Ovis aries: one gene and its partner. The protein of the gene in region 1 purifies or fractionates together with the protein of each later gene. This does not show direct contact. Links are inferred from orthologs where the notes say so. Each region holds a gene or a part of one and is shown on either strand. Other genes may lie near its edges.

Region 1 (7,210 bases):
TAAGCAGTGCTAGTCACACTCCTCCACTGGGAAATGAAGCTACAATGTTGGGCAGTGAAAACATGTGAGACCAGGAACAGACCTGGACTCCCAATCTTCCGTGCCACCTTCGACCAGACACTTTCCTAATTTTCAAACTGGAAGCGTGGAGAGAATAAGTGATCTATTAAACTCTTTTCCATTTTAACTGTCTTTAATCTTATAATTCTAAAAGGGAGGTCAGGTAAAAGACTCCTGGCATGAAGACAGTTTGAAATTTCTATCAGCCACAGTGATACAAGAAAAAGAAAGGGGAAGAGATTGAGAGAGGGTTGCCCATTTGGCAAAGCTGATGAGGAAAAGGCCTGGAACTTTGTTGACATAAGCAGCCTCCCTTCTGGATTTAGTGTTTGTGGGTTTTTTTAAAAGGTGCTTCCCAAAATAATCAACATTAAAATTTTAAGTGATTTACGTGTATATCTAAATGATCAATTAATGTTTGCCCTATAAGGGCTTTCTTTGTTCTTTTATTGTTATAAGACGGTTAAACAATATGCTTATTTACTTCATAGCTTCACAAACAGGAAGGAGGCTTTAAATGGCTCAGTTTCACAATTTGGGGTAGATATATATTTAAAGAAATATTGCATAATTGCATAATGCACACTGCCTCTTCCTAAAATGCATCATACCAGAGCCAATTTTGGAAAACACAAATATGGGATGGGTATATTTTGAAAACTATGCGAACATAATAGATTCTTAATTAATATGTGTGGCTTTTATGGGAAATATTTGTTATTTTAAGGCATCTGTCATGCAAAAACAATTTCTGCTAGTGAGGAAAGTTAAAAAGAGCATGTAGTTTAAATTTTGTTTCTGAGTTATACTTCTTGTGTAAATGTCCATGTTGCTTTTGTCCTAAAGCATTTTAGTGTTCTATTAGAGAATACTAACAATATCTTCTAAACTACTAAGTAATTTATATAAATTTATGTATAACCTTCATTTGTGTGGCATTTATTAAGTGCAAATCATAATTACCTTTGTCATTATATCATCTGATTCTCATTCAGCACAATGGAAGTGACTTTATTCCTCATTTAGATACGGAGGAAATTAGACTCCACATTTTTTATTTGCCTAAGGAATATAAGCTAGAAAGTTCTAAGATGAGAATTTGAAACCTGGTATTCCAATTCCAGTTGCGGTCCTTCTTCCCCATCCTCTATTCCTTTCTGCACTGTGGTGACACAGTACATTGAAAGGATTAAAAGATGGATTTTAGAGTCAAACAGGACTGGGTTCAGCTCCTGCTTTTGGCACTGCCTGGTCTTGTGCCCATGGGCAAGTTATTTTCTTCTTTGAGACCCCTTTGTGAATTAAGCTAAAAATAGTTATACCCTACCCCACCCTAACAACACACACCATGGGACTGTGGGAAGGATTAAATGGAATAATGCATGAAAAGCACATAGCAGAACGTTCCATAAATGTTAGCCATTGTTATGTTATTATGTAATCTAGAAAATATGTTCAGTTACACTGCATGAAATACTTTCCATTTTTCAAAGACACAAATGATACATGTGAAATCAAACCCTGACAATTAATTTTTTAAACAGTAAATTCATATGCCAGATGCAATGGATAGTATTTCATGGACAAAGACTCTAGTTTTTTTAAGAGAAGTTATCTTTTGCTTTCTGTGGTTTCAAAACATTTCTTAATGTTAACACCTTCTTATAATCTGAGCCATATGAAATTGTCATCTATTTAAAGTCAGATACTACAGAAAAGTGGCAATTTCATACGGCTCAGCCCAACAGATCAACAAACTACCCAACAGAAGATTTTTCTCGTTGCAAAGGGATTATTGAAGAAGTTGAACTTGAAAATTATTTCATTTTCAACATATTCTCATTTTAACAGATAAGGAAGGAACAATGCCACACTCCCTAGAATTAAGAATTAAAGCATACAACCTTCTCTTCCTATCCCCAAGCACATACACGTATACCCCAGCTCCAAATGAAATCCCAAGAGTAAAATTAGGTCTCAATCCCTGCAAATTTCCAAGGAGGGCACCAAAAGTACTGGACAGCAAGCATGCTGAGGAAGTTGGCTGCTGTTAAAGTCACCACCTGTGGTCTTGCCAAATGTCTGAAAGGGAATATGCCATGAGACCTGTGTATTGGGGAAGATGGGGGGGATGTCCAGGGGGCAAGGGTAAAGAGTTTGGAATATCCGGATGGGGAAGTCCTTCTCTGTGGCACACTGCTTGCCTCCAAGTGGGCGTTTGTATGCCGTTTGTTTACTTCTTTTTGTCTGTATGTCGGTGTCTTTATGCTTCTGGGTGCTCCTGGTTTGCTCCTGGCCATGTCGATCGTGCTGGACAGGGGTGATTGTGCCAGTCGGCTTCTGTGCCTGAGCACTCGTTGGTGCGCTGGATGGGTGTGTCTGAGTGTCTGTGGCTGTGGTTCCGTATAAGTCTGAGCATGTATGTCGGGGTACAATGTGCCTGCCTGTGCGTGTCTCGGTGGGCACGCTCATCTAATGCGAGGAAGTGCCGGAGTATTGCCATCTGCCCTGAGACCTCAAGCCGCACAGCCGCCCCAGGCAGACAGGTAGCGCCCACCAAAGAACCGGCACCTTCTAGCTGGCTGGTAAGCTCGCTAGAGCCGGCTTCAGCCTCCGGGGCCAGCCGAGGGAGCCCCGAGGGAATGGTGGCCGACCCGCCCTGCTAGAGCAGCTGGGTCCCGCCCGGGCCAGCCCCAGGAGCAGGCAGGAGAGGGGAGGGAAGGGGCGGGAGAGGGCGTGGGCCTCGCCCCTTTGGGGCTTCCCGCGTTCTATTGGTTGAAAGTTCTAGCACGTCACGGGGAGGGCAGTTCCCCTAAAGTCCTGGTCACATAACGGACAGCGCGCACTCAGAGACGGCTTCTCCAGAGCGCAAGCTGGAACTGGCTGAAACTGCCCGGCACTGCGAGTCCAGAGTACCCCCGGAGCTGAGTGCACCACGCACCCCTACCACACCCGCACCCACCCACGGCCGCTGAATGAGTCTTCCAGGTGCTCGCTTGCTGCCCGCAGCGCCCCGCCGGAGGTCCGCTCGCTGAGGGCGGCTGGTGCGCCGGCAGCCTGTGCGCTCACCTGCCAGCCTGCGCGCCATGGGGCAGCCCGGGAACCGCAGCGTCTTTTTGCTGGCGCCCAACGCAAGCCACGCGCCGGACCAAGACGGCACGCTGGAACGGGACGAGGCCTGGGTGGTGGGCATGGGCATCCTCATGTCGCTTATTGTCCTGGCCATCGTGTTTGGAAACGTGCTAGTCATCACAGCCATTGCCAAGTTTGAGCGTCTGCAGACGGTCACCAACTACTTCATCACCTCCCTGGCCTGTGCTGACCTGGTCATGGGCCTGGCAGTGGTGCCCTTTGGGGCCTGCCACATCCTCATGAAAATGTGGACTTTTGGCAACTTCTGGTGTGAGTTTTGGACTTCCATTGACGTGTTGTGCGTCACGGCCAGCATTGAGACCCTGTGCGTGATCGCTGTGGATCGCTACTTTGCCATCACGTCACCCTTCAAGTATCAGTGCCTGCTGACCAAGAATAAGGCCCGGGTGGTCATTTTGATGGTGTGGATCGTGTCTGGCCTTACCTCTTTCTTACCCATTCAGATGCACTGGTACCGGGCCAGCCACAAGGAAGCTATCAAGTGCTATGCTAAGGAAACCTGCTGTGACTTCTTCACGAACCAACCCTATGCCATTGCCTCCTCCATTGTGTCCTTCTACCTTCCCCTGGTGGTCATGGTCTTTGTCTACTCCAGGGTGTTCCAGGTAGCCAAAAGGCAGCTCCAGAAGATCGACAAATCTGAGGGCCGCTTCCATGCCCAAAACGTCAGTCAAGTGGAGCAGGATGGGCGGAGCGGTCTAGGACAACGCAGGACATCCAAGTTCTACTTGAAGGAACACAAAGCCCTCAAGACTTTAGGCATTATCATGGGCACTTTCACCCTATGCTGGCTGCCCTTCTTCATTGTCAACATTGTGCACGTGATCCAGGATAACCTCATCCCTAAGGAAATTTACATCCTTCTAAACTGGTTGGGCTACATCAACTCCGCTTTCAATCCCCTTATCTACTGCCGGAGCCCAGATTTCAGGATTGCCTTCCAGGAGCTTCTCTGCCTGCGCAGGTCTTCATTGAAGGCCTATGGGAATGGCTGCTCCAGCACCAGCAATGACAGGACTGACTACACGGGGGAACAGAGTGGATATCACCTGGGGGAGGAGAAAGACAGTGAACTGCTGTGTGAAGACCCCCCAGGCACCGAAAACTTTGTGAACCAGCAAGGTACTGTGCCCAGTGATAGCACTGATTCACAAGGGAGGAATTGTAGTACAAATGACTCACTGCTGTAATGCAGGTTTTTCTACTTTTTAAGACACCCCTTCTCCCCGGTTCCCTGCAACAAAACACTAAACAGACTATTTAACTTGAGTGTAATAAATTTAGAATAAAGTTGTACAGAGATGTGCAGGAGGAAACATATCCTTCTGCCTTTTTATTTTTTATTTTTTTAAGTTGTGACAAAATATATTTGAGTAACTGTTTCTTGTACAGTTCAGTTCCTCTTTGCCTGGAACTCGTTAAGTTTATGTCTGAAGGGCTTCAGTCTCAAAGAACCTGGGGCTGCTATGTTTTGATGACTTTTCCTGCATATCTACCTCATTGATCAAGTATTAGGGGTAATATATTGCTGCTGGTAATTTGTATCTGAAGGAGACCTTCCTTCCTGCACCCTTGGACTGGAAGATATTGAGTCTCTCGGACCTTTCGCTGTGAACATGGACTCTCCTCGCCCCTCTTATTTGCTCAAACGGGGTGTTGTAGGCAGGGACTTGAGGGGCAGCTTTGGTTGTTTTTCTGAGCAAAGTCTAAAGTTTACAGTAAATAAATTGTTTGACCATGACTTCATTGCACCTGTTTCTCCAAAACCCCTTGACTGGAGTGTGCTTGCCTCCCCCACTGGAAACTGCAGGTAACTATTTGCAATAACTGCCCAGTGACTTAATGTGGAATGACACGCACCGATTGCTTAACCCTTTCGTTTGCCTTTGAATCTGCCGCTGCAAACCTGCGTCTCTTCTAACGCTGCTGCTCCCACATCGGTTCTTTCGCCGTGTGCTCACCCAGCACAGCTCATCTTGCTCTTCCTACGAGCATTATTCCTGTGTTGTAACATCAGAAACACTGACTCATAGAACTGGAGTTATGGGCATCTGTTGTGTGCCTCCATGTGCCTCTGCTGCCCACCTTCCAGTTCTACTTGCTTTGCAGCTGCTTATATTTTTATCCTTGTCTTTTCTTATAGTAGAGATCATACTGCATCAGGGCTTGGCATTTTGAGGATAAGGAAGCTCTTGTGAAAAAGCTGCTCAAACATAGCCCTGAAATTCCAAGGGAAATGAAAAAGTCATGGGTTATAGGGAGAAAAGCTGGAAAACATGTCACTGGTGAATACCTCATGATCTAGAAACAGGGTTGAACCCTCCTCCTTTTGAACTGCTGTCCTTCTTTGCCCCCTCTCCCTGTGACTCTAGTCACTTCAGGACAAATCAAGATTTCTCAACCTCGTACTTTTAACATTTTCAGCCAGATAATTCTCCACTGTGGAAGACTGTCCTCCACATTGTCAGATGTTCAGCAGCAGCCCTGGTCTCTACCCATGAGATGCCAGGAGCATCCCCTGAGCTGTGACAACCAGAAATGTTCTCCAGTCACTGCCAGATACCCCTACCTTGAGGGATGAAATTGTCCCTGGTTGAGAACCAGTTATAAACTTCAAAACTCTAAGCAGATGTTTAGATTCTACCTATTATAACCACTTTATTTTGCAGAGCACCAGAGAGGCATTTTTCAGTTTTCTCAGTTAGTGACAGACCCTGGGCCAGTGTTCTACTTCATCACACTGCCTTCCAAGCTTATTCACCAGCTGCCCACAGACTGACTGTGAGACGTGAATTGTTTGGGAGGGTTTATCAATGAAGGTGAGGACTCTGAGCCATTACTGCCTGTTTGTGGAGAGATTATAATAGTGTTAAGAGGGACGTAAGGGAAAATCATGAAAGTAAACACATTTCTTTTCCCACCCCCTTTCTATTTTTGCCTGTGTGTTTGAGCCAGAGCTTGGCCCAGGTTTGACGGAGTGGATCGTCCTCCTTGGCAGCGCCAGCCAGGAGAGGTTCAGCCTGCAGGGTTCGTTGCCATTTCACTCACTTACAAAGCTCACTCTATTTCTTTCTTCTCTTCTATCCCAGCCAGGGTGCCCAAGCAAAAAAAGCATTAGTCTCCTCTGCTTCTCATCAGCTCAGTGATGGGGTGTTTCCAGGCGAGCCCTGACATCTCAAGAGAAAGTTAGCTGCCTGTGTTTCTAGAACATGCCATCAGGCTTTGGAGAGTGTGTGCCATTCAGCACTTCTGCTCTTTCTCCAAGGGCTTTCATACCTATTATCACATTCTTCTTCTGCTCTGGCCCCTGCACTCAGAGATGCAGGCAGCTTCTCCAGTTAATCTTCACACTCCTCATAGCCTCATGGGATCTTGGACTTGGAAGAGAAAGCATAAAAAGCATTTGACATCCAAAGAGACTGAAAGCCTGCAAGGGGGGATGACCTGCCCAAGGTAAGAAGCCAAGGATATGAGAGTCAGAGCTAAAGCCAGGGAACACGGCTGTCATACCATGAACTGGCGTATTCTCTCCACTACATTGTTATTGAATTCTGCCCTCACACTCAATCGTGGAATCTTTTCCCTGGGGCTGTCACATTAACAAATTCATTTAAGCAGATGTTTTTATTTCTTTTGAGTCCTTGATAAAGAACACAGGCAGTACACAAATAATCTGCAATAGGGACAAGTGAAAAGAATTATTCCTTTTTCTCAGCAAGTGTTCACTAGGATATCCTCAGCATTTAGGGAAATTGGAAGATTCCTTGACTCTTTATGACCTGAAGGGATTTCAAGCCACTCCAGGTAGAAATTTCCATAGTCTTATTTAGAAGGAAAAAAAAGGTGGAAACTTTTCTATCATCATTTGTAAGTCCCACGGACAGTAAATATTATTAATAAACAATGTTATATATATCCTTGTTTGACTAGAGGAGCAAACAATGTAATTTCAGTTAAACACTCTGCTATGAATGTTAGTTCATAAAGGCCCAGCTAA
Region 2 (7,535 bases), on another chromosome or scaffold:
GGGATTCTCCAGGCAAGAATACTGGAGTGGGTTGCCATTTCCTTCTCCAGGGGATCTTCCCCACCAAGGGATCGAACCTGGGTCTCCCACACTTCAGGCGGATGCTTTAACCTCTGAGCCACCAAGGAAGCCCTGAGATCTGTCAAGTATATGTTAATATTGATTATTGGGAATTCTCTGGCACTCTAGTAGCAATACGTGAACCGTGAACTTCCAGATGTTCAAGCTGGTTTTAGAAAAGGCAGAGGAACCAGAGATCAAATTGCCAACATCCACTGGATCATCGAAAAAGCAAGAGAGTTCCAGAAAAACATCTATTTCTGCTTTATTGACTAAGCCAAAGCCTTTGACTGTGTGGATCACAATAAACTGTGGAAAATTGTGGAAGAGATGGGACTACCAGACCACCTAACCTGCCTCTTGAGAAACCTATATGCAGGTCAGGAAGCAACAATTAGAACTGGACATGGAGCAACAGACTGGTTCCAAATAGGAAAAGGAGTACGTCAAGGCTGTACACTGTCACCTTGCTTATTTAACTTCTATGCAGAGTACATCATGAGAAACACAAGCTGGAATCAAGATTGCTGGGAGAAATACCAGTCACCTCAGATATGCAGATGACACCACCCTTATGGCAGAAAGTGAAGAGGAACTAAAAAGCCTCTTGAACATGAAAGAGGAGAGTGAAAATGATGGCTTAAAGCTCAACATTCAGAAAATGAAAATCATGGCATCTGGTCCCATCACTTCATGGGAAATAGATGAGGAAAGAGTGGAAACAGTGTCAGACTTTATTTTTTTGGGCTCCAAAATCACTGCAGATGGTGATTGCAGCCATGAAATTAAAAGACGCTTACTCCTTGGAAGAAAAGTTAATGACCAACCTAGATAGCATATTGAAAAGCAGAGACATTACTTTGCCAACAAAGGTCCGTCTAGTCAAGGCTATGGTTTTTCCAGTAGTCATGTATGGATGTGAGAGTTAGACTGTGAAGAAAGCTGAGCGCCAAAGAATTGATGCTTTTGAACTGTGATGTTGGAGAAGACTCTTGAGAGTCCCATGGACTGCAAGGAGATCCAGCCAGTCCATTCTGAAGGAGATCAGCCCTGCGATTTCTTTGGAAGGAATGATGCTAAAGCTGAAACTCCAGTACTTTGGCCACCTCATGCGAAGAGTTGACTCATTGGAAAAGACTCTCATGCTGGAAGGATTGGGGGCAGGAGAAGGGGATGACAGAGGATGAGATGGCTGGATGGCATCACCAACTCAATGGATGCAAGTTTGAGTGAACTCCAGGAGTTGGTGATGGACAAGGAGGCCTGGTGTGCTGCGATTCATGGGGTCGCAAAGAGTCGGACATAACTGAGCGACTGAACTAAACTGAACTAGTAGTTAAGACTCTGTGCTTTCACTGTCAAGGACCCATGTTTGATCCCTGATTGGGAAACTAAGATCCTACCAGCCATGTGATATGGCAAAATAAAAAAAATTTATTATTAATAATAGTCATTCTTTATTTATCTCAAGTTATTAATTTCCACATTCAGGGGTAAAGGTTGTAGGGACTTCCCTGGTGGTCAAGTGGCTGAGACTCCATGCTCCCAATGGAGGGGGCCTATTAATAAAAGATTCCACATGCTGCAACTAAAACCTGGTGTAACCAAGTAAATAGATATATTTTTACAAAAAAAAAACAAAAGAATAAAGGTTATATATTGACCTGACCAACCAATTCTATAAAACTAGGATTTTATTTTACCTAGTTTCAGCTGATAACATGAATGTTGTAAAGGCATAGCCAGACCACAGACAGTAGATTTTTCATCAAAGAATTACATAACTCTGAAGTTTTATCTTAATTTAAATAATTTTTTACAGAAAGTGATTCCAGTGTTTTATTAGTATGTTTTTAATTGGTAGCATATAATTCAGTAGTAAGCGTTTTTAGTTTGATACCTTTGTCTCTGCATTTTCTAAAAGATTTTGCTGTATATTTGAAAATGCTAAAGGTTTTGTAGATTTGTGTGGGAAACAGTTTTATTAAAATTGATTTTCCCTTTTTACCCCTTAGGTTGAGAAATGGAGTGAAGTTTTGTAAAGTACAAAAGTTTCCTGAGGTATGGGCTTTATGACAGTTCATTTTATTTTATGCGGTAGGTAAAGCTTTAATGTAACCCAGTGCAGTGAATAGTTTAGCATTTGTTGAAGATTGAAGTGGTCCTATTGACCAATTGCTATGTATACCCATTATGATTATCCATTTTAAAAATACTGGATTGCATATCAAGTAAGTGCCCCTAGCAGTAAATAAAACTGTATTAAACACAGTTTAATCAGACATTGTAGGGTCTTGCAGGTATAAAGTGTAAAATTGGAAAAACCAGTAGCTATGGAGTTATGAAGTACCACATTTCGGGATTTCCACATTTTAACATCTCTGGAATGTTAATTGGATGATTAAGAATTGGATGATTATGTTTAATCTTGACAATAAGTATATTTAATAGACTCCTTTATCTAGAACAAGAAATTTTGAAATAATCCTACCTTTCTCTTTTAAAAAGATTTTGTGCATCCATCTTAAAAGATTCAGACATGAACTGATGTTTTCCACCAAAATCAGTACCCATGTTTCATTTCCACTGGAAGGCCTGGATCTTCAACCATTTCTAGCTAAAGATAGTCCAGCGCAAATTGTTAACTATGATCTTCTGTCAGTCATTTGTCACCATGGAACTGCAAGTAGTAAGTATCCAAGTTTGACATACGATTTTGCATTAAAAAAAGAAACATCTGAGTTGATCTCAAACAAAGCCTGATTGAACAAAAAAAAAAATGTAAAAGATTTTTATTAATTATTTTATTTTGGTTTTTAAAATGTCAGAAATTTTAAGAATTTGAATAATTTTACTCTCATGTTTAAAATAGTAGAAATACATTTTGTGTTAAGATAAATAGTAAGGATTTTAACATGATTATTTTATACTTTTTTTTTTAAGATTGCATTCTTTGTTATAATTTTGATTTCCTCCAATGATGGTTGTAAGGGTACCTACTGGAAAAAATAGGTTAGTTCTTGCTGTATCTCTGCTAGATAGGAACTGAGGCTACAAAACTAGTTTTATCTTCCATTCTTGTGTTAATTTTATATCACTGAAATAATTTAAATTTTATCTGCCTGAATTCAGGTGGACACTATATTGCCTACTGCCGAAACAATCTAAATAATCTCTGGTATGAATTTGACGACCAGAGTGTCACTGAAGTTTCAGAGTCTACTGTACAAAATGCAGAAGCTTATGTTCTCTTCTACAGGTGAGGTACTAACTCATGAGTAGGCTGTTTTGACAAAGATGACAAAGCATCTCATATTGAGGTTAATCGTGACTTCTAAGACTTTCAAAGTGGATTGCTGAGTAAAGATTAGAAATTGTTTTACTCTCATTATGTGAGTAAAAGTGAAGGTTTGTGTGTAGAATGATCTTTTGTTAAGAAAATGTTAAATCATTTAGTTGAGGGGCAAAGGGTTATGTTTTGTTTTAGAAACATTTGTTTTACTTTTAAAAATTAAGCACTGATAGTAGGAACTAAATATCAAATTTTCTCCTAACATAGCCAATAAAGGAGGTATTAATATAATATACTTTACAGTATCCTCTAAAAGATTGTACAAGCTACTGTCTTGTTAGCAATCATTTGAATGTCTGTTTTCTAACAGTAGTTATGTGGATACCAGTAGTTATCACCTAGATATCACCTCTAGGGTTATAATGTAGTGGGGGAGGCAGGGAGCAAAGTACAATATATTTCCTATGAATAATTTTTAAGACCTAATAAGATTCACAATACAGTCCACCTTCCATGTGCATGGGTTTTGCATCTGAGGAGTCAGCCAATGGCAGATAAGAAATATTGGGGAGGGAAAGATTCCAGAAAGTTCCAAAAAGCAAAACTTGAAATTGCTCACCAGTAACTAGCTACCATTTATGCCCTATATACTAATGTTTGCATAACATTTATATTATATTAGATATTATGTAATCTGGAAGTAATTTAATGTATATGAGAGGATATGCACAGGTTACATGCAAATGCTACACCATTTTATATAAGGCTTTGGTATCTGCAGGGTTCCTGGAACCAGTCCCCCATGGACATGGAAAGATAACTCTTTTAGTGTGTATGCAAAATCTAATAAGGAAGTGGAAAAATCCATTTTACTAGCCTAATGGAGTAAAATGCTTATTGAATATAATGAATCATTGTCCTTAATAGGAAGAGCAGTGAAGAAGCACAAAAAGAGAGGCGAAGAATATCAAATTTGTTGAACATAATGGAACCAAGTCTCCTTCAGTTTTATATTTCTCGACAGTGGCTAAATAAATTTAAGACCTTTGCTGAACCTGGCCCTATTTCAAATAATGATTTTCTCTGTATTCATGGAGGTAAGAAACTCTAATGAAAGGTAGTAGTAGGAAGTTTCTATTAAATAATTTACAAATAAGGCAAGAGCCAAGGATTTTCCTCTTCCATTTATTTTCCATTTCCCATCTACATTCCAACATAAATGTATTTAATTTACTGTCGTCTCAGAAATTAGTTTTTTCTTATAAGTATGGGTAATCTATAGCCTCTTCATAGAATAGATATTAATATTTATTGGGTACCATTTCCAAATGCTGTGCTAGAGTCTAAAAATACCAGAAACACTGTTTCTGTTCTCAAAGCTCCAGTTTCATAGTAAAGACAGATGCATAAATACCTGATTAAGGTACACGGATCGCTTCTATTGCTCATCATTTTTCTCAGCTGAGAGACATCCAGCTCCAACCGTATCCATGGCTCTTATCCCTTTTGTCTAAATGAATAGCTGGCTCTTTTCCTAACCAAAAAAATGTACTTGGAATTTAACAACAACAAAAAAAACCTCATGCAGTTATTTGCTAAATATAACTTCTGCCTTTGTGACTGACTGTGTTACTGCCTGTTCCCATGACAAATAATACCTTAGTGTGACACTTTTAATTAAATTTCATGGTCGAAGACTTGTTATTCTCATTTGTTAATTATTTTTGCAGTGAAACCTCAAGAGATAGTAGAAATGTCCTGTATTGGATTTAGAAATCTAAACTTTGAAAATATTTCTGTATGTGAAATTTTTCTCTTATTACTTTCTCCCACTTGAGCTATTAACTTAAGTCTCTTCCTGTTCAGAATCTCCCTATAATCCTCTTAAGGCATTTATCTGTGCCTGCCTTTTATTTTGGTTACTCATGTAAATTCTTCATTTCTTCTTCTGGATTATAAGCTCCATGAAGAAAAGATTGTCTCTGATTTATCTCTGGTTTGCCCCAATACATAGTCAATGCTTAGTAAAGATTTATGTAAGTTAAATACCTGAACATCTTGGTTAACTTACTCTATATTTCAAGAGAAAATATATCTTCAGGAACATATGTTTATACTTAATTTTCTACCTCTTGGGGAGATTTTTTAAGAATAATAACTGAAAAAATGCTAAGAATTAATCAGTTAAAATTAACAAAAGGAACGAGACAGATTCATTTTAAACTTTTCTAGGTGTTCCTCCACGAAAAGCTGGTTATATTGAAGACTTGGTTTTGATGCTGCCTCAGAACATTTGGGATAACCTATATAGCAGGTTTGTTTTTTTTAATCAGTATGATATTGTGAAAATCAGCTTATGAAATTTGTTAAAGAGAGATTGGTTATTTTGTATGTGCTCCTTGTGCTGTATGTTGCTTATGTAGAATATTCCCTTTTTCCTTCATTTATTCATGCTGAAGCATGACTGGAGAGACTTGTAGCTAGAGTGGCCCTGATCTAGATAATTAATTCCAATTTTTCTGTTCTGATCGTCCATCTATAAAGGTATGCTGTGATATTTAACTCTCTAAAGTTTTAAATTTTATTTAAAAATATTTCACACAATCCCCTAATACATTTCTTAAAATACATTGAAAATAATTCATTTCATGAATTCCTACTTGAGTGGACAGGGGAAGTCTCCTTCTGATTAAAACTTGATTAAAACTGTGGCTGTGTATAACTTAAGATTTATAAACATATAAACATGCTAATTTTTGACAGCTACTTCTTTTATTGTATGTTATTGTTGCCCCAAACATTTTGTAACAAAAGTAGCTGTAAGAGAAAGTTCAAATATAGATAAAGCAGACAAATCAATAAACTGATATAATCATTGACCCTGAAAAGCATAAAATCAAGTCCTCACAATAATTTAGTTTTTACATTTTATGAAAACTTGGATACATTTCCTAGATCAGCTTTCTTCCAAATTATCATAATTATTAATATTCTTCATGCCTTAGGTATGGAGGAGGACCAGCTGTCAACCATCTGTACATTTGTCACACTTGCCAGATTGAAGCAGAGAAAATCGAAAAAAGAAGAAAAACTGAATTGGAAATTTTTATTCGGGTAAAAAAATGATGCTTTTCAAATTAGAAAAATAATATAGAATAAAGAAAAAGAAGTGACCCTTAGAAAAACTCTGTAAGTGAAATGATTGGATGAAAGAGTTGTAATAGATTTTAAGTGTTACAGTCACATAACAGTGAGAGACCCCAGTAAGGTGACTGTAGTTCTAGTGAGTTAAGTTCTTCCTTTGTGGATTTTTGTTTTCATGGATTGGTAATAAATTTTGGTTTGTGTATTGGCACTGGCAAGAAGTCTTATTGAAATAGTCAGTTATAGGTTTCGGTAAGCTAGTGATTGTTTTGGAAGGCACCTACTTAGATTCCGTTCTCTACTTTCACTCCTTTGTAAAGTAAATATTGTTTGGGGGAGCTCTCTATACTTATACCTAGTTCCCACAAAGTGAATATATTACAAGATGTTTCTTGATTACAGGCAATAGAAAGTATGATCAGAATCAATAGGAAGAGCTGAATAACCAGGTTTTATGGAGAGAAAGAATACACTTCAATTTGTCTAGGTAGCATGAAGTAAGTTTCTTCAAAGTGGTACTGTCAGTAAAACGGCTCCAACTATTTATTTATTCAAATTCCTAATAGAGAATCCTACTAGAGTTTGGGTCACTTGAGAGGCATGTTCATTGTATTCCTGTTCAAATTATATTGGTGGAGGGATAATTCTGTAAGGGAAAATTGAGATTTTTTTTAGTAAAAGGTGGGGAGAAGTTATTGAGTAGATACTACAGATGAATAGTACATTTCATGTTGTGGACACACACTTCTCTTCACACATACATGTTTCTTTTCATAGATTTAGAGGTGTTTTTTTGTGTGTGCCCTTGCCTAAATAAAGACATTTTTACATACACAGGAGAATATTACAGGTGTGGATTGATTTATTGTTCTTGAACCTCATTTGCTTCCTAAATATAAAGAGGCAAATTTTAGTTAAATATTAAAAATAGGTCATTCCATGAATACTTGAATAGATGGCTAATGACTATCCATTAGGGTTTGATCACTAGAAGCCATTCTAAGTATTTTGAGTAGAATAGGAATACAAGCAATGCAAG

What was found. Proteins that work in one complex are often made in the same cells at the same time.
Region 2: the proteins of ADRB2 (region 1) and USP33 purify together in Homo sapiens (affinity purification with western blotting; 3 studies listed by BioGRID and IntAct, with this or other methods). This does not show direct contact. The link is inferred for Ovis aries from reciprocal best matches to the Homo sapiens genes ADRB2 and USP33.

The regions. Positions count from the first base shown.
Region 1 is NC_056058.1:58,014,179-58,021,388, forward strand, and holds ADRB2 (beta-2 adrenergic receptor), read left to right. Parts: upstream 1-3,146; coding exon 3,147-4,403; downstream 4,404-7,210. UniProt on the Homo sapiens protein: Beta-adrenergic receptors mediate the catecholamine-induced activation of adenylate cyclase through the action of G proteins. The beta-2-adrenergic receptor binds epinephrine with an approximately 30-fold greater affinity than it does norepinephrine.
Region 2 is NC_056054.1:54,170,585-54,178,119, reverse strand, and holds part of USP33 (ubiquitin carboxyl-terminal hydrolase 33), read left to right. Parts: intron 1-2,075; coding exon 2,076-2,121; intron 2,122-2,568; coding exon 2,569-2,749; intron 2,750-3,192; coding exon 3,193-3,319; intron 3,320-4,279; coding exon 4,280-4,449; intron 4,450-5,584; coding exon 5,585-5,666; intron 5,667-6,357; coding exon 6,358-6,466; intron 6,467-7,535. UniProt on the Homo sapiens protein: Deubiquitinating enzyme involved in various processes such as centrosome duplication, cellular migration and beta-2 adrenergic receptor/ADRB2 recycling.